2 linked regions of the Danio rerio genome follow. The protein of the gene in region 1 interacts with the protein of each later gene in a pairwise test. Links are inferred from orthologs where the notes say so. Each region holds a gene or a part of one and is shown on either strand. Other genes may lie near its edges. The genes, in order: numbl and spsb3a.

Region 1 (4,532 bases):
AGACAAGCAGAACAGACGGTTCTCAGACGGTGTGTGACAGGTGATTAAATAGTGCAACCCGGAAAAGTTGCTTGAAGAGGCGCTTGCAGTTTTTTGGGGGGTGGTGAATTACACTGTAAATAAATACTGAGTCCCACACAATTGCTTCATGTTGTCCCAACACAAATTGATGAAGTTAACATAACAAATTTAAGTGGATTGAACAATCCCTCTCTCTCTCTCTCATTGAGAGATCTGCTGTCAATTAGGGTTGGGCGATGTCGACCAATTTGGCATCGTACAATGTCTAATATGAAACATCACGATGGACGATGGCATCCTCGTCATTGGTGGCGGTGAATTAATTATGAATAATTAATTAATTCATAACAAATTAATTATTTGTAGCCTACCGTTTTAACTAGCTGACCCGCATGGTCTTTATTTTACCCATAACCAAATCATAAATTAATAAAGATAAGTTACAAACATAATTACCACCTGTCAATCACTTTATCCTCAGAACTCGTGAATAGGTGTGAATAGGCCGAATGATGTGTTGTTATAATGGCATCAACAAACTTGGTTGGTAAAAAAGGTGCACAACCAACAGGAAACAACCAACAGTATCTGAAGTTTTCACTAAAATTAATAAGTACAAGCGTGACAGGTGTCTGTTGGCCATCGGCGATGAACAATGACATTGTCTATCAGCCCAACCCTACTGTCAATAGTTTAAAATAGCATTTTAGAATGAAAACAATTCACGTCCACACTGGCGTATTACCTACCATGTCTGAAAAGCCCTCCTTCCACAATACCGCTGAAAACACACATCACGTGACCACAAACTGTAATGCGCTGCAGTGAAGGCTATGCACGCATCTGACTCTGAGCTCCAGCAATCACGCTAGAGAGCAGTTCATGTTGAACAGTTTATCAAGGATGTACCAGCTAACGTGTCACAGCGTCAGTAGACTGCTTCAATCTTTCACTTTCACGCTGGTACTTAGTAATTTTAGCAAAAACCTCAGATTCTGTTGGTTAGTTCCTGTTGGTTGTTGACCTTTTTTAACCAACCAAGTTGGCCAAGCAGCAGCGACCCGCTCGTGAAAAATACACACTTAGTCCCTGTTTACACTAATACGTCTTAGTTTCAAAATGCCATTTTAAAATAAAAAACAATCCACGTCCACACTTGCGTTTCATTGAACATTTCTGAACAGCCTTCCGTCAACACTATACCACTGAAAACGCACATCACGTGACCACACACACACATGCGCTGCAGCATACGCACACGTTACAACTCCAGGCACTCAGCAGCTGGTGCAAGTATTTCTTTTTCTACTGTAGATATCACCAACCAGCAATCTTTAAAAATATCTTCTTTGAGTTCAACGGGAGACAGAAACTCAAAAAGGAAACTCTCATTTCAAGTGAATAATTTGCTAATGTCGTATAGTGTAATCAGGCAAAACATACAAGACTTGAAAATTGTTTCTACTTCGAAATTTCATGTTTTATTTGATGTTATTAGCCATTTTTTGTGACAGCTTACTAGCAATTTCCGTATTTGAAAGAGTAATCTATTCGCCAAAAATCTTTTTCTTTGAACATCTTTCGAAAAAGTAATTAGCATAAAACTTAAACTGAATTTCTGAATGTATCCACATTTGATTTCAAATACTTTCAGATTTAAAATGGTCAAAATTAACATTCTAATCATAAGTTTATTTCATCACCATAACAATACATTTAGATATGACTCCATCAACTAAGTTGAGTAGCCTACATAAAAGATGCTAAGACTTTACAATAAGGTTGCATTAGTTTAATGTAAGTTCATGTGTTTACTAACATGAACAAACAATAAACAGCACGTCTATAACAGTATATATTCATCTTTGTTAGAGTTAGTTAATGAAAATAAAGTCATTCATTGTTAGTTCTCGTTAGCTCGCACATTATTAACTATAATGAATAGAATTTTGTATTGTAATAATGCATAATAAATGTAGAATTAATTAATCACGTGCATGTTTTGTTCGTTCTTAGTTCACGTAAGTAACGTTAAATTGTAAAGTGTGACCAAAGAAACTCTTAAAATATTTCAATATTGGGTCTTCTTTCAGTTCTTTAAACAATCAATATTTTACTGTAAATAACAGTCTAAAACTCTAAAACTCATTTTTCCACTACAACAACCGTTCGTGGAATGGAAATGGACATTATTCGCCGGTTGTAACATTTTTATTGTCAATAGAGCCCACATGTAAAGCCTCTAAACACTGCAGTCTTGCTCATACTATTTCAGTGACAAACTCCTCAGTGAAAGGCCCAACCATTATGGATCAATAACAGTCATCTAATTATTAATGAGGCTCCCGTATGTAAAGCGTCGCTAATAAACACATAATCACTCTCTAAAACACTACGAGTCTCTTACATAATTTTACACTATCGAGCTATTTTGATGTACATAAGGTTCTGTTTAATGTGTTCAGAAACATCTGGCTGTAGTCGCACTGACATTCTTGTTTGTTCAGCAAGTCTTCGCGGACCCTAGTGGTTAATTAATGGTTAATTACATTTTTCATCCTAAACCCTAACAGTAATAACAGCATTATTTGTTATTGTTGAACACACATCTGCACACTTCAGCATAGATATATGAAATCAGAATCATGCCATCTCGAGCCACATGAGCCGCATGTTGTGATATCCCGAAACTATAAATAATGCATGTAAAATGAGAGCACAGACACTTACCGAATAGAAGAATACTACAATGAGTGTCCGTGCCGCCTTTTGTGTAATCCACAGAAATATGAGGGGGGAAATAACTTCAGATGAATCTACATGAGAATCCCTCGCGAAACTGACGCTCGGTTGGAGGCACGTGGACTAAGGCGTTTCGGACGGTCGTAAATTTAGTAAAACGGCCGTAAGAAATGGACGGATTTTTTGGGGATAATCTCTGCGTTTGTTATTCAGTGAGCAGCAGCCACTGGCGCATAGACTGCGCTCCTCCCGCGGCTCCACCCGCGTGCCCCGCCCTCTCGGCCCGCTCATTGGCGCAGACGGGCGTTTATGCAAATTATCCTCTTCCCGCTGATGTTCAAGAGTCTGAATGGGATGCAATGGATCAGGCGGTAGGAGTAAAACACCGTCATCTAGAGGCCAAACGGTTGAGCGCTTTTCTCAACGTTTACAGTGGGGTTTTTTTCTTCAATTGCTGCTTTCAGGATTCTTTTTAATAATAAACAGCCTATTCCTATTCAAAATTTACAGATGTTGGTTAAAAAAAGGTTGCATTTAAATACAAATACAGTGCATAACATAATATCGTATGAAGGGTCAAAAACCACATAACATAAAAACAATTATTAAATACTGTTTTTTATTTTTTATTTTAAATATTTCTGAAAATACCCAGAATATCTGTGTATTACCACAGATTTATCACCTTAATCTTGCAATCTTTTACTTACATTAATATATTAGTATTCAATTATTATTATTTTCTATTTATTTACTAATTTACTTATATCTTGTTCAATTTTATCTTAAGTTTTTTTTCTGTTCATTCAATCATTTTCTTGTCGGCTTAGTCTCTTTATTAATCCGGGGTCGCCACAGCAGAATAAACTGCCAACTTACTGAAACACCAACTGAGCCAATTTTCGAACCAGCGACCTTCTTTCTGTGAGACGACAGCACTACCTACTGCGCCACTGCCTCGCCCTCTTTTTTCTAATCTGTCATTTTAATATGGGAAATCAACTTGCGTGTTTGTTTTAATCTGGTATTTAATCAAATGTGTGATTATCTATATGAATCATAACTAGTAAGTAGAGTAAATGAGTCAAACTTTTTCAATTTCATTAATCCAAACATATTTAATTGTGATCAAATATTTGATCAAACAAATCTCTTAAACAAGTGTTTTATTTATGCCTAGCCTGTTTGCAAAGTCCAGCTTTAAAGTATGGATGATCATGATTTTCATATTCAAATATCGCTACTTACTTCGATTTTAGTTGGAGTATGACAGTCACTTTTATTGCTAAATCAGTGAAAGATAAATTGCAATTATGGTACAATTCAATTTGTTACATTTAATTCCACTGTAAGAAGCACATCTTTCATCACAGACTTCTTCAAGCCACTCAATTGGAGCTAGAGTCTTCAATTAGTTGCAATGTCCAGATTTTAAAAGCTTTTTTGCAATGATACTAACAGCCTACAGTATAAACAAATATGCTCAGCGAGATGTTCAATTAGAAGTGAATGAGAATGTGGAAAGAAGAGAAACTATCGAAGCACATAGATACAGCAGCGCAGTACTGAACAACTCAACTCCTCACTTGTACACTACCAGTCAAAAGTTTGGAAACAGCAAGATTTATTCAATGTTTTAACAGATACCATTTCTGCTTACTGCGACTGCATTTATTTGAAGAAAAATACAATAAAATTTTCATCAAATAACTATTCAATTTTGAGGTATTATTACACTTTTAAATAGCTGTTTTCTTATTGAATGGAGT
Region 2 (3,829 bases), on another chromosome or scaffold:
CTTGTTAATATTATTTAATGCACTGTGAGCTAAAATTAACTAAAATTTAATGTAATAAATATGCATCATTATTTTTTATACTGCATTGTATTATTAACACACATACACATATCATTTTTAAATTACTTCATTAATCAATTAATTAATTTAATTGAAGGTTTAAAAGATATACTATAGAATAATGTTTTGCCTTTGTCAAAGGTAGGCCCACACGGAATCTGCGTGCGCAAAATTCCGGAGATTTTCTGCAGAATTCCGCAGATTTCTAGCCCATTATTAATTCTTATTTGCTTAAGTAAAGGTGTAAATCTGAATTTATTCAGTAATTTATTACTTTTTATTTAATATATTAAGGTTAAAAATAATTCCGCAGAAATTCGCAGATTTTTACCAAAATTCTCCGCAGAAATAGCAAAAAACGTCCGCAGATCCCGACTGGCCCTGGTCATAGGGCACTTACTGGAAAAACCCTGGAGCGTTACTGGGGGTATTTACAAGACATTTGAACTGACACAAAATATTAGCGCATGTAATTAATTATCATCTTTCAATGATAGATAATACCTGGCTACACAAAATAAAAACAAACATAATTACTCTACCTTTATATTAGTTTAATTTTATTAGTTACAGTTTATCCATTTCGTCAGCTAAATCAAGGCCTGCCACCACAGCTGGAAAAATCCTAGAGGAAACACTGAGTTTATTACTACAGTTGTGTCGTACCACAGCAACAATATAATTACTACAACAGTTTAATTCAAGTAATTATCTATAGTATGCTTCCAAACACTATGGCATTTACTATGGTATTTTTCATGTAACATAATTATACAGTATCTACTGCCTCAATAGCCCCTTTCACACAGTGATACCGGTAAATATCTGGAAAATTTCCGGAAAGACTTTACCGGTATATTGAAAAAAGCGCTGTTCACACAGGCGAGAACGTTATGGAAATTTTTCGGAAAAGAGCATTCACACATCCATTCCAAAATACCGGTAAATTCTGACATCATTCACCACAAATGAGCTTTAAACGGCTGCGCTTGTATTTGTAAACATTTGACTAAATTACAAACTCTGTGGATGATCAGTATTGTGAACAACTTTCGCAGGATCACTTTCGCATGTCGAGATGTTTATAATATGTGCGTGTTTCACAGGCACACGCAAAGCTTGAAGGTAAACAAACAACGGCTTATCATAAGCATCTCATCGATGATTATTTACACAGTTGTCATTAAGAAGAACATATAAACGTGATCTGACTAACTTCTAGCAGTTAAATGTGTCTGGAAAAATATTCAAAGGCTTTTATCCTCACAAACCGCGCGGACGTAAATGCGTCTGACTGTTGTGATTGGCTAAAGCAGACGTCTCACGTCAGCACGTTCTAGACGTGCACGCGCTTATTATGGGAATCTTCCTTCTGCATTCACACATCATTTGTGTTCAATCGAAGTTCACTAAATCAAATCAAGTATCAAAAAGAAAGTTTGTAATTCTGAATCAATACCCAGTTTAATCATTTTCCAATAATAAGTAAGATCCATCCAAGTAGGGGGATAAAATTACGGCAAATTACCGGTAATGTTACAACTTCTCTTTCCGGAAAATAGCCAGAACGAATTTACCGGTATTTTCAAAAAGGACCTGTTCACACATACAACCTTTCCGGAAAATTGCCGGCAATTTTCCGGAAAGGTCTGTATGTGTGAAAGGGGCTAATGACAGATAAATATATTTTAGTTCAGTAGAAAACTCTGCCTCTTCATGAAATTCGGATCATGCCCAACATATGTGCTTATTTTCTATTTACATCTCCTTTGTAATATGGTTTAAATGCTTTCCTCTAGGTCTCCCTTTCAGTTTTTAACTTCCTGCCCTCCATCTGAATTTCGCTCGTCAATCACCACGTGACTGAAAACAGCAATGTTATAGCAAGTGCAATTAAATTTTCAGCTCTATTTGATGGCATCTGCACATCATCTTCACCCACCTGCTGTCGATCGTAGCTCCACTCGTCACTCTCGGAGGCAAGCACCAGCGCTCTTGCATCTGCATCCCGTCTTATTCCACTCCACACGTACCTCCACGCCCTGCTGTTTCTGCTCCGCCTTGACATGCCAACCTGGAGCCTCCGCACCTGTCAACCAGACACAACAGCTCTTCGTTCTATAGCAAAAGAATAAGTCACACTACATGAAACGCATTATCAAAGTAAAAATATACGTGAAAGCATTAAAAGACACAGTATGTGACTTTTTTCCACTAGAAGGTGCATAATCAAAACAAACAAGGTAAATTTAATGATGCCATGATTGAGTGTTGAATCCTACAGGACTCCTGCAGACATCATGCTTATGGAGGAGTAGAAGTATTCAACACTAATTATCATGGTAGTATGAAGTAGAGTAAGGCTGAAAGTACGGGTGTGAACATACACTGGTCTCACAGTTCGGTTCAGTTATGATTATCAGGCTATTGATTTGGTTTAATTCGATATCTCGAGTTCATCATGGTGCTTTGACGATGGTTTCCATAAACAATTTGATATTTTACTTTAAAAACACAATAATTCTTGTATTAGAATTTACAATTTAAAAATATTTACATTTAGATATTACTTGTAATACAATTTTGTCCTCTAATACAAGCATTCAAATATATGAACTGCAGTTTTATTGAACCTGCTCAAATAAAACACTCTTTCTGAATGTATCAAACAAAACTCAAGTACAAGCACAGAACAACATGAGCATTTACAGCAAACAAAAAACTAAATGTTATCCCGCTTTCGATTTGAGTGGTGTTGAGGGAGATCTTAAATGCCTGCGATTGATCACGCACTCAACAGAAATGGCTGGGATTGGCTCTAATGGTCAGCACAGCTCTGGTGCTGTTCAGCAAACGATGATGTTAAACAGCTACAGCGATTAGCGGATCCATCATAGACGTTAACGCGGTGAAGAAAACTCGCTCTAAAGACACCCTCATGTCTGGATCTACAGATAACACTATTGTTGTAACAACCGAGAGAGGAGATAAAACGTTACCTCACGAAGCTAACAGGTCAAAGGGGCCACAGAGAATGAGAGAGAGTTTCACCGTTCATTTTTTTCCTAGCTTTCCTTTCTGTGATGTGTGTAATGTGAATGTTGATCTGTTTGTGTGGTAAGGCCAAAGATGAATTTCCACTAGTGGACAATGAAGTAAAGTAAAGTTTTGATGTACTTCCCTGTCAGTGAAAGATTGTCCAGCAAACTCACAAGTAGTGAATTGTGCACAGTTATCTGCTTCCTAAGTAGTTGTAGTGTTTTAATTACTCGCGGCCTCCTCACTCGCCATAGTAAGCTACCGCTGTATAACGCATATGTGATAAATGACATCAGTACATAAAAACCGGTTATGATTATTACTGAACAGATACCGAATTGTCCACATCTGCGTCGCGGTGCATCAAAGAAACAATTCATTTTGACACCCCTAGCTGAAAGCTGTCAAAGTGAAACAAGAGCGCTGAAGAAATTGTGTTACGCAGCCTAAAAAACAGCAGAGCTTTTATTATGCCACAGTCCACTGCTTCCTGTTCTAATCTTTATGATCAAGTAGAGAAGAAGCAGAGCTGTTTAATCAGACTAAGTGCATTTTAGGGTTCTGTTATAACATTCCAATGTGCGGTCTAATAAAACACACACAACTAGGCATGAGATGGTAACTGGTTTTAAAGGTTCACGAAACCCTCGAGTACTTTTTTTGAGATTTTAACAGATTTGTGTTTGTTGAGCATCAGTTCAGACAATGTTAGCACCTGTCAGCTTTAATA

What was found.
Region 2: the proteins of numbl (region 1) and spsb3a interact in binary tests that used the Homo sapiens proteins (3 or more experiments, as listed by UniProt). The two-hybrid records come from large-scale screens. The link is inferred for Danio rerio from reciprocal best matches to the Homo sapiens genes NUMBL and SPSB3.

What each region holds. Positions count from the first base shown.
Region 1 is NC_133190.1:16,579,569-16,584,100, forward strand, and holds the start of numbl (numb-like protein), read right to left. Parts: upstream 2,949-4,532; 5' UTR 2,752-2,948; intron 1-2,751. UniProt on the Homo sapiens protein: Plays a role in the process of neurogenesis. Required throughout embryonic neurogenesis to maintain neural progenitor cells, also called radial glial cells (RGCs), by allowing their daughter cells to choose progenitor over neuronal cell fate.
Region 2 is NC_133178.1:14,705,196-14,709,024, forward strand, and holds part of spsb3a (SPRY domain-containing SOCS box protein 3a), read right to left. Parts: intron 2,150-3,829; 5' UTR 2,129-2,149; coding exon 2,003-2,128; intron 1-2,002.